3 linked regions of the Notamacropus eugenii genome follow. The protein of the gene in region 3 binds, or shares a complex with, the protein of the main gene of each other region. Links are inferred from orthologs where the notes say so. Each region holds a gene or a part of one and is shown on either strand. Other genes may lie near its edges. The genes, in order: PPFIBP1, PHLDB2 and ERC1.

The links.
Region 1: ERC1 (region 3) and PPFIBP1 share a complex: the UniProt entries of both Homo sapiens proteins name them as parts of the cortical microtubule stabilization complex. The link is inferred for Notamacropus eugenii from reciprocal best matches to the Homo sapiens genes ERC1 and PPFIBP1.
Region 2: ERC1 (region 3) and PHLDB2 share a complex: the UniProt entries of both Homo sapiens proteins name them as parts of the cortical microtubule stabilization complex. The link is inferred for Notamacropus eugenii from reciprocal best matches to the Homo sapiens genes ERC1 and PHLDB2.

Annotation. Positions count from the first base shown.
Region 1 is NC_092874.1:218,743,096-218,746,843, reverse strand, and holds the start of PPFIBP1 (liprin-beta-1), read left to right. Parts: upstream 1-1,362; 5' UTR 1,363-1,403; coding exon 1,404-1,467; intron 1,468-3,748. UniProt on the Homo sapiens protein: May regulate the disassembly of focal adhesions. Did not bind receptor-like tyrosine phosphatases type 2A.
Region 2 is NC_092876.1:356,289,350-356,293,097, reverse strand, and holds the start of PHLDB2 (pleckstrin homology-like domain family B member 2), read left to right. Parts: upstream 1-1,297; 5' UTR 1,298-1,413; intron 1,414-1,567; exon of another isoform or gene 1,568-1,745; intron 1,746-3,748. UniProt on the Homo sapiens protein: Seems to be involved in the assembly of the postsynaptic apparatus. May play a role in acetyl-choline receptor (AChR) aggregation in the postsynaptic membrane.
Region 3 is NC_092874.1:204,593,468-204,597,215, reverse strand, and holds the start of ERC1 (ELKS/Rab6-interacting/CAST family member 1), read right to left. Parts: upstream 2,380-3,748; 5' UTR 2,117-2,379; intron 564-2,116; exon of another isoform or gene 470-563; intron 1-469. UniProt on the Homo sapiens protein: Regulatory subunit of the IKK complex. Probably recruits IkappaBalpha/NFKBIA to the complex. May be involved in the organization of the cytomatrix at the nerve terminals active zone (CAZ) which regulates neurotransmitter release.

The sequences.
Region 1 (3,748 bases), about 14 Mb from region 3:
AATTTGGATGACTTGTTGAAAAAATGAAGTGAAAATAAAATAAATGTAAAAATTATGACTAAAATAATGCAAATGAAAATACCAGGAGATATCAGAATGCAAATTAAATGCAATGATTCTGATTCCAGAAAATTGATGAAACATTCTCCCTATCAGATGCTTTTGCTGGGACACTTTATCTTTCTTGGCTGCTTTTCTTTGTTACAAGGAAAGGTTCAATGGGGCAGAATTGTAGGAATACACAGGGATATAAAAAATACAAAAAAAAAAATATTACTATAGCATTTTTTAAAAGTGTTACTCCCCAATAGGTTAGTGCTGAAAAAACTATGAGTATATAGTTCTCAAAATAACTATAAACTGTTAACAACAGTATGAAAGAAAATTCGAAGTCACTAATAATAAGGGAAATGCAAATCAAAACAACTCTGAGGTTTCTCTTCATGCCCAGCAAACTGGAAAAGATGGCAGAAAGATAGAAACAGGCAAAGTTAGGGTGCTTGTGGAAAAACAGGCACATAATGCAGGAATTGTGAATTAGTGCAAGCATTCTGGGGGAAAAGATTGGAATGATGCAAAACATGTTACTTAACTGTTACCCTTTGACTCAGAGGTCCCACTAGTAGGCATATACCTTAAGGTAATTAATGACAAAAAATTCTCAGTGATTTTTAAGAGTATAAAGGGATCGTCAAATTAAAATGTTTGAGAACTGATGCCCTAAAACAGGGGTGAGCAAATTAATGCTCAGCCCAGAAAGAGGGACAAGTTCTACCACCTGTTTTTAGACTGCCTTAGAGCTACACATGGTTTTTATATTTTAAAATAGTTTTATTGCATTTTAAAATGTGAAAAGTTGGGTGGTTGGCTAGTTTTGGACTAGATTGTGGACTCTTGCCCAAAAATGTTAAAAATACTTAATAGTTCTATATGTTACCAACTAGACTGAGATGTTGTGTATAGCCTAGTGAATAGAATGCTGGACTGGTCAAGAAGACCTAAATTCAAATTCTGTTACAGACCTGGGCTCTGTATGACAGGGCAAGTCACTTAACCTTTTTCAGCTTCAGTTTCCTTATTTGGAAAATGGAGCAATAAGAGCTTCTGCCTCACAAGGTCAACTATTACTAGTAAAGCAGTACTAATAAGAGTCATCTGTGTCTCCTCCTGAATCTGATCATTATACTTGCAAATAGCATGTGGTCTTTAATAAATATTTATTGAATGAACAAGTGAATAAATGACCTCAGGACTTCTCCCTTAGCATAGAGACTTGAAAACTGAAATCGTAATTTGTCAAGGAGGCGTTGATACTTTTCTGAGTGCAGTTAATAACCCCATCATTTTTTTTTGTTGTTTCAGATCCAGATTTGACTTCATTCCCCACTTGAGAAACTAGAAAAATGATGAGTGATGCCAGCGATATGCTGGCAGCTGCTTTGGAGCAGATGGATGGTATCATAGCAGGTAAGATCAGTCTCCAGCTTCTAAAATCCAGACTCAGTGATGAGTTGTTCCTGTGAAGGAGGAGATTATATTGGTTTGATCAGTTTCATCACACCCTCATAGTAGCTTATCTTGGACATATCAACTCCCATCGCTAAATCTCAGTTTTCCCATATATATGTAAATATGTATATGGGGGTTGGAAAATATCAGTTCCCTTCTTGCTTCCAAATCTTATAATTGATTGATTGACCATTGCAAAGTAGTGTCCATTTGTGGACACTAAGAGGGATTTTGAAAATCTAGAAGAGTTGTTTAGAGGAACGTGTCACAGTGGTGAGATGCATGAGGCAGCCATGCCCTATGAGAAACAGTTAAAGGAAATGAGAATGTTTGGTCTGTAGAAGAGGAGACTTGGGGAAAGAAGGAATGTGATAACTGCCTTAGAACATTTGAAGGGCTGTCTGTCGTATGGAAGGATCAGAGTCAGACTTAGTACACTAGAACAATGACTGGTTCTTTGACTTTTTGGTCTTAGGGCCCCCTTTACGCTCTTTAAAATTATTGAGATCCTCGCCTGCCCAATGAGCTTTTGTGTATGTCGGCTATATCTATCAGTAGTTTCTTGTTAGAGAAAAGAACTTAAATATATTGTATAAAATATTATTATAATGATAGTTTTGACTTCAGCGACTTCCAAGAGCTCCCAAGATCACACTTTGAGAACCAGTTTTAGAATCAGTTCTTCATCAGTTCTAGAATCAGTAGATGAAAATTAAGAGAAGATAGATTTCAGATCAAATTGAACAGTAGTAATCACTCATATTTCTCCAATGTTTTTAAGTTTTTTGCAAAATTGCACTCTCACAGTCTTGTAAAGCAGGCAGTATGAAGATTATTATTATTCTACAGATAAAAAAGCCAAGAGGTTCAGTCCCTGGGTTATAGAGGTAGTTATTGTTGGAATTAGAATGCAAGCTCTGTTCTTCTAACTCTTAAGATCAGTATTTTCTTTATTACATCATGTTTTCCCCAAGTCCAGTTGGACTTTGTTATGGACTCTCTATTCTGTAATTGTGGAATCTCTCTTTGGGGCTGTTTGGCCTCAGAAGTTATTTAGCAATGTTACCATTTCAATACCATACTTATTTCCCCCGTCCCAGAGAATGGCAAATGTCCTTGCTTCATAAAACTTCCTCTGGTGTATCTGGCTGGGTCAGAGGAGGTGTGTATCCCACAGCATCTCCAATTCAGGCTAGGCCTTCATTTTTCTTACTCTCTGCTAGTGAGGAAGAAAGAACTATTTTCTTCAGTGAGCTTTTGAATCTCCTTTTCCATTTGGCTAATTCTGCTTTTGAAAGCATTCTTCTCCTCATTGGCTTTTTGAACCTCTTTTGCCAATTGAGTTAGGCTAGTTTTCAAGGTGTTATTTTCTTCAACATTTTTTTGGGTCTCCTTTAGCAGGGAGCTGATTTGCTGTTCATGCTTTGACTTCATGTCTCTCATTTCTCTTCCCAGCTTTTCCTCCACCTCTCTAACTTGATTTTCAAAATTCTTTTTGAGCTCTTCCATGGCCTGTGCCCATTGAGTGGGCTGGGACACAGAAGCCTTGATTTCTGTGTCTTTGCCTGATGGTAAGCATTGTTCTTCCTCATCAGAAAGGAAGGGAGGAAATGCCTGTTCACCAAGAAAGTAACCTTCTATAGTCTTATTTCTTTTCCCTTTTCTGGGCATTTTCCCAGCCAGTGACTTGACCTCTGAATATTTTTCTAGTGAGGAAACAATATAAAAATGCATTAACTGAGTATAAATCTTTTTGGTGGTGAGCTTTTAGAACTCTGCAGATGTTCTAGGTAAACTACATCCAAAGCATTCTCTCATCTACTATCAAAAAAAGAAATCTGATCAGTTTGGCATGGCTTGTTCTCTATAAAATTGTGTTGGTTCTTTGTAATTACTGCTTTCCTATCTAGATATTCAACAATCATCTCTTTATCTGATCTAGAATTTGACCAGGAAGTGAAGTTAAACTCATCGTCCAAAATTCTGGAGGGTCTGTTCTCCAATATTTTTTAGGCTAGAAGGACTACATTGGGACAACATTTGCCAGTCTCTCCAAACTTATGAACCACTGTTCTAGAGGATACTTCTAGCTTTCCATGATCTTTCAAATATTACTGACAGTAGTGTAGTTTTTGTGTCTGTCAATTTTTTTTTTTTTTTTTAGAACCTGTGGATGGAGTACATCTGGGTCAGGTGATTTGAATTCATCAAGGAAAATTAACTCTCTCCTTATTTATTA
Region 2 (3,748 bases), on a different chromosome or scaffold from region 3:
TGTGCAAAGCAAATACTCTGCCTGCAGATAGTTGGGGAGGGCACCAGGGAGGGAAAAGTGATCCGCAGGGCTTCAACTTCGGGAGCACTCGATTGTTGCTTATCCTTTCCTGGTTATAGCTAAGTAAAGCTTATTTTATTCATTGTTGAAAGAACTTTTTGAGATCAGACTTAAATTAAAAAGGGAATTGACCTGTCAGATCCAAATCAGAACACACCTATTATGCACAAGGCACAGGACTAGCCACTAAAGATACAAAGATGAAGGAAGGAAGGAAGGAAGGAAGGAAGGAAGGAAGGAAGGAAGGAAGGAAGGAAGGAAGGAAGGAAGGAAGGAAGGCAGGCAGGCAGGAAGGAAGGAAGGAAGAGAAAAAGGAAGAATCCTTACTGGAGTTTACATTTTACAACGATGTGATTCTCTTTCACCTCCATTCCCTCAAATCTTGCAAACTTTTCTTGTTCTGGTAAGAATTTATCAAGGTCCTAATTACTATGGGCAGCTAGGTGGACTCAGTGGATAAAGTGCCAGCCTGGAGTCAGGAAGACCTGGATTCAAACCTAGCCTCAGACACTTACTGGATGTGTGACCCTGGACAAGTCACTTAACCTCTGCACCAGACTTACTACTTACTACTAGCGCACTTAACTACTGCACTAGAGAAGGAAATGGCAAATCACTCCAGTATCTTTGTCAGGAAAACCTCATGGACCATATGGTCTATGGGGTCACAAAGAGTAGAATACCACCGAATGAAACAACCCCAACATTCTCCAGTTGATGGACACCACAAAAAGAGCTGTTATAATTACTTATCTCTTTGTAATCCAAGAGGTGGTGGGATTGGATTTCAGATATTCTTCCCACTGTATACTGGGAAAGGTTGAAGGTGTTGGCTAGGACGGGTTTTATTTTTATTATTATTTTATTTATCAGTTTACAGACTATTCCTTCCTCTCTGTACCAACTCGCTGTATACAACTTTATGACACACCAAGAAAACTGCCCCACAGGCAAACTGTCAAAAGGTGGTTGCAGTCACTAGGAGTTTCCCGGGAGAAGTTCAATTAGCGGGTGTGGAGTAAAGGGCAGATCCTACACTATCCCACCCCTTTTCCGCAAAAATCCCTAATGAACGGCTGCAGACTAGGCTTTGAACAGATAGTTCTCTATAATGGGGCGTAATAACAAGTACCAGCCATCCTGGCAATCTGCCTCCAGAAGTCTTTATCCCCATCTTCATTAATAGGAATAACAACAGTCCTAACCAGGGTCATAAATAAGGGGACTGGAGAGGGAGGGGAGAAGCAGAGCCAACCACTGGAAGGGAGGAGGGGGGAGCTGGCACACAGGGCTCCGGGTAAATACCTTCCCTTCCCTTCCTACCCCGGGCTAGGGAGTCGGCGTCACGGACTGGTGAGTAGGACTATTGCCCCATGGCGGAGGTGGGAAGGGAGTGGGGCACTTTCTTCTGGTCTCAGTGGGGGGCGCGGGGGGCTCTCTCTCCCCCTCGGGCCGGAATTGGTTGCAGCCGGTTGCGGGGCAGTGAGTAGGAGGAGGTGGAGGAGATCTGGCGGGCCCTTGGGTGGGGGGCCAGCGTTACTCTGCCTGGTTCCGAAGAGGGCGGGCTGCAGCTGGAGCGTCCCGACGGAGATTGGGATTTCGTGGAGCGGGGCAGGGCAGGGCAGGGCAAAGGCAGACTGGGGAGAGAGGGACGTCCAGGAACCCGCTGCAGAAAGGATGACAAGGTTAGTGAGGACAGGGAAGTTTCTTTGCTCTTTTTAACCCCCAGCAGCGGGAACAAAAGCGGGGACGGGGTTCCGCTGAGTAGGGAAAGGCTCGGGGTCGGATAAGAAGCAGCCAAGAGTTGCATGGCCTTGGAGGGGGAACCAAGAAGGACCTGTGGGGACTGTTGGGGGACCTCCTCTGTTGGGAGAGAGGAGCGGATGCTAAAGGGGTTTTCCCTCTGATCTTGGGCTCCCTAGGGTGAGAATATGTGTTGGGTCGGGGGCGCGGCGGCTGCGTTTGTAAAATAGGAGACAGACTTTGCCTGATTCTCTCCCGACAGCCCCCAGAGGGAGAATTTAAGAGATTTGTAGGGACCCCAGAAGCACCTCCTTTCGAATGGGGCTTTGGGACCGAAGTGCAGAACTGGGGTTACCCCGAGGTGCAGTGAGAACCAAGGCTGTGCTGCAGGCGGAGAAGTTGGGTGGGAGCTTCCCGGCTGGGACTTTTCCTATTTACTTTGCGGGCGTGTAAATTACCTCTCAATTTCAACCCCCCCAGACGCCAACCGTGGCTTTTGTTGCCTGTTTGACATATCCCGGTGTTCAGTTAGGAAAACCGAGACTACGTGCTGGCCTCAGCCGCTTGAGGAGGGGGATGCTCACTTTTTTTGTGTTGTTTAGGAGATTTAATAATACTGATCCAGGCAGTCACTTATTAAAGCAGAAGACCTGGCTCACCCCAGCCAGAGCCAGGAAATTAAAAGGCTGACAGGCAGTAGCTCCAAGGGCTGGGGTTTCCTGTTTTAAAGAGCTTTGTAAATGGAATCTACCTCCTCCATAAATCCATCTACCCTTCTTATGCAAAAGAGAAACGTGAAAGAAAGAGGCTAAGTGGGATTGGGGGAGAAAAGTCATGGGTTTGGAATCAAAGGACTTGGGTTCTAACGAGAGTTCTGCTCCCTATTTCCTTTGGGATCTCTAGGGCACGGCACGGAACCTCACCGGGCTTTAATTTGCTCCTCTGTAAAATGGGAGTAAGGGGTGGACTTGTTGACCTCTAAGATCCTTTCCAAGTGTAAGTCTCTGAATCTGTGACTAAACGTTTTATCCTCCCAACTCTGCCCTTACCATTTTGCTCTAGGCTCATCTCTCACCTTGCATTTCCCTAACTCACCCCAAGGTCTCCAGCTATTAGGTAACTTACCACTGTGAATGCTGCCCCACCTAGGTGCAGCAGGAATACTTTTGTTCTTTGTAAATAATACTCAGTTAAATGTAAGTGGTTAATATTTGTGACCCTCACCCAAGTTATATATGAATAACATTTTTTGTTGTGTTGAGATGTTGGGTTTGAGGTTCTGATTGATTTGGTTTGCATAAGTGTTTCAATGATCTATGTCTTTTCTTCAGGATTCTTAAATTCAGTCTCACCAGGAGGTAGTTGAATGTAGTGTGAATAGCTACATGTATGCCTCAAAAACAGTTGGATTTTTGGATTCTAGTGGGATAGCAACAAGTTGTTGAATTTGGGATAAATAAACATTTAGGGTGTCTAGTATTAAAAAGAACTTATTTCCTGGGTGCTCTTCCCCAGATGATAAAAATATTTGTAAGGAAGAAGACTAAGTTTCTCTGAAAAACAATAAAGCAGTGACCTTTTTCATGGTTTTAACTTAGTCATTTAAAGGTATTATGAATGATCCATAAAAGACATACATTCATTATTACTTGGGAGGAAGAAAAATTACTGCATTTGAGTAACGTAAGTAACCATTGCAGCCTTCACCTCTTGAGACCTAGTGGTTTACAAATCCCAGTCTCACTGACAAATGGAAAAATGAGATGTTTGGTTTTAGTACAGTCATCATTTTGCTCAATTTGCAATCTTCAATCTGTTTCAAGCAGCTGGCAGCTGTTGCTCTTAGGATGAGGCCCAAGACCTTGACTGTAGGGGGTGCAGTCTGGATCTATTATGGAGGTGGAAGAATAAAAGGATTCTCAGAAAATTATGGCAAGAAACTCCT
Region 3 (3,748 bases):
TCATTCTTTCTCTGATGGCATGGTCTTCTTCAGCAATGAAGAACAAACACACAACAATGTAGTGCAGGAAATAGTAAAAAGGAATGGAACTAAGATTTCATTGATTTAGGGAACTCCCTCTACCAAGGCAAGTAGATCTCTGCAACTTTTATGTAGTCTTAAAGAAAACTGCCTATTACACTGACAAATTAAGTGAATTGCCCAAGGTCACATCACAGGCAGGACTCGAATTCAGGTCTTTCTGGCTTCATAAAGCTAATTCTCCATTGTCTCTCAGTAGTAGCTTTAAAAATTAGTGAAAAGATTGACATCTTGTCTGTAATTCCACTAAGTAACAGAAAAAAACACCTTAATATCTGCATAAGAAAGACATGACGAGCAGCAAGTAGCACTGTTGGAAAAACAAGATATACAATTTCCTTCAGTCAAGCCATTCAACAGAAATAAGTGACCTTCATCTTCTGCCTACCTCACACTTGGAATGTGAATCAAAAATGTCAAGCTTCTCAAGGGCAAGCAATCTTTCAGGGGACTGGGGTTTTTTCTCTGTATCCCAAGAACCTAGAACGTGACAGGTATTTAATGCTTCTTAAATTCAAAAATAAAGATGCTTGTCCTAACAGCCTTGCGAATATCATTCTATTAGCATAACTTTACAAAATTTCATTTAACAACTTATTTCATATTTTGTTTGTGTCTACCCTAACTGAATAGTATAAAAAAATTTCAAAACTCTAAACTAGATATATAAATTTTAATTTTCTTGTTACCTCAAAAATAAAAACAAGTCACTGCATAATTCCACTTTATACTTGATTTCCTTAAAAATGATTAAACATTTTCTTTATAGTTACAATTGGAATCACACTTTGTCTCAGTTAATACTTATTACCTCCTCTTATTTCCAACCAATTTGTGCTATAAGCAATCCTCTTATTTATAAGATATGAAATAGCTTGCTCAGTTAAGTGAAAATAAGTAAAAATACCTATTTTACTGAAACTGACAGATGCCTTCTAAAAGTACTGCTCTAATTATTTTTGGTGGCATTGACTTACTTTCCAAAGTTAGATAAATCTAATGGAAATCATTCTCTACATTTCTTTTTGGAACTGTTTCTTATCCTGTAGAAGAAAACTACTGGAAGAAATATCAATCATACCTACTTCCATCCAACAATAAGTAGTAGGTAAGGTCAATTCATTGTGAACTCTAAAGAGAAAGGAGGCAAATCTAAGGCAGCAAAGTTTTATTTACTGTGCTAACAAGAAGTTTAAAACAGAAACGTAGGTAGCATCTTGGATAACATCTCCCTAGGATGGGATTTTCACATTTTCCTGGAAAATGAGATTACAAATTTTACCGGAAAACAATGCACAGTAAATACAAGAACACCAAAAACTTCTCCAAAGTTAAAGGGCCTATTTGGAGAAATACTTTATTTTTAAGCAGAGATTTAATTGAAATCTCTGCTCATCACAAAGAACAAGGTATCGATCCCTTAAAACCACACAGCTGTGTTTGTAACCGTTTTTCAAATACCCATTCCCAACCAACCCAGATTTCGGGGAATAAAGTGGCCAACACTCTCCGCCCGGCAGAGCGAGCTGTCATCCACAAGTGCCCGTGTCAGTGGCTTAGAGGCACGGCTCCCAGGGCCTCGCTGCTCCCGGCCGCCCCCCGCCTTAGAAACACACCCAGGAGCCCCGCGCAGGGCCAGGCAGCCAGGCTCTGGGAGCGGGCACAGGGGCGGTGGTCACCTCTGGGAAGCAGGTGTGGGCAGACCCAGCCCCCCTGGCCGGCCGCTCACCCAGGCCGGGCTTCTCTCACTCAGATCCATTCATCGCGGCACCTTCCCTCCGAATAATAGCGGCCCATTTTAAGATGCCAGCCGCAGGGGGTGGGGTGGGGGCGGGGGTCTGGAGGCGGGGAGAGGGATCCCCCGCTTCCTCAGCAGTTTCATTCACATCAGTCCCCTCTAAATCCCCAGAACGAACCTCGCGCTTGCCCCCCAGGCCTCCGCCCCCTGCCTCTCATCTCCCCCAAGCCTGCGCCCGGCCCAAGTCTGGCCCCGAGCTCCCCGATGCCCGCATCCTCCCTAGGTATCCCCACAAACCTGCCACCTCCGTCCCCGCCCAGTCTCGCGAGCCGATAGGGTGGGGCTGCCCGGCGGGGGAGGGGCGGCGGCCGCGGAGGAGAGGGGGAGGGGCGCGGAGGAGGGGGTCCCCGGCGCCTCACCTTCCAGCCCCACCTCCCTCCCCCGGGGCGCTAGGGCCGCCGCAGGCTCCGCCCGGGCCGAGACGCCGGAGGCAGCGAGCTCCGCAGGGGCGAGACGACGCTCGGGTGCCGGCCGAGCCGAGAGGGCGCCGCGGTGCGCCCAGCTCCGAGGGCCGCGGCGGCGGCGGCTGCTGCTGCTGCTGCTCCTGCTCCTGCCGCGGCTGCTCCTGCCGCTGCTTCGCCTCCGCCACCACCTCCCAGGCTGCTGTCGCTGTCGCCGCCGCCGCCGCCACAACCAGAGCACAGCCCAGGCGCCTGCCTACGTCACCGCGACCCGCCCAGTCCGCCGGGCGCTGAGGCGCAGGGAGCCCCTCCTCCTTCTGCCCCGCCCCGCTGCTTCCCCTTCGGCCAACGCCGACCTTCCAGGTCTCGCCCGAGGTCTCGCCCGAGCTCCCGCCGCACGCGCGCGCCGGAGGCTCCCGGGATCCTTCCAAGGCAAGGACGGGGGCGGGGCAAGTCGGCGACGGGGGCGCGCGCCGGGAGCGGGCACACGCACAGAGCCGACCGCCCTCCTCCACGGGCGGGCACGCGGCTCACACACACGGGAGACACATGACTGCCCTCCTCCCCCCGCAGATAGCCACCCGCACGTCCCAGGGCCTTCCTCCACGTTCCCTCCAAGGAGAGCCGCTCCAGGGTGAGGAGACCTGGGGGAGGTGAGAGAGAATGAGGACAGGGAGTTCGCGCCTCTGCGAGTGAGAAGGCTTGGGGGAGGGGCGGGGCCGGGGTCCTCCAGCCCTGGATGGTCTAGACCTGCTCCGGACCCGCATTCGCGCCTCTTCTCCGCCCCCCTCCGCTCCCGAGGCCGAGCAGTGCCGCCTGACCCTCCGGCACCTCGAGGATCGCCCGTCCCTACGAGGGTTGTGTCCGGAGGGAGCTGTGGACTTGGTGTCTGGGACCTGGGTTCAGATCCTCACCCTTTTCCCCTCTAAGCACGTCCCGTCCCCGCCGCTGGCCTCGTCTTTAAAGTGACCGTTGTGCGCCTCCCTCCGACCTTTACTGACCAAGTGATCACCCGATCCCCACCCCACACGCGCTCATCTCCCACCTCCCCGTCTTTCCCTTAGGGTCAGGCAGCCCCAGAACGCTCCCAGGAGGTGCCCGCGGCCCCACGTGTTTGATGGTTCCTAGGAGGACTCCCCCTGGAGTCTGGCTTGGCTTCAGTGGCCATGGTCTAGCCTAGCCTTAATGTTGCCTTTTAGCTTTGGCACTCTTAGGGAGTCACTACTGACTGGGTGACCGCAGCCTTGGCTTCCACGCGAAGTAGGTGATACTATCCGAGGCTGAAGGAAGGAGAGTGTAATGGAAAATAAAGAGGGGTGTCAGTGTAAAATTTTTGGCAGAGCCTCCCTCCGCACACTCAGGTTCCCCTTTGCAGACCCCTCCTTTCTCTCATTTGTGGCCCCCATCCAAATGATCTGAAAGCATTGATGTCTAGGATTCCCCAAGGGTAGCCTCTGCTCTCTTTACA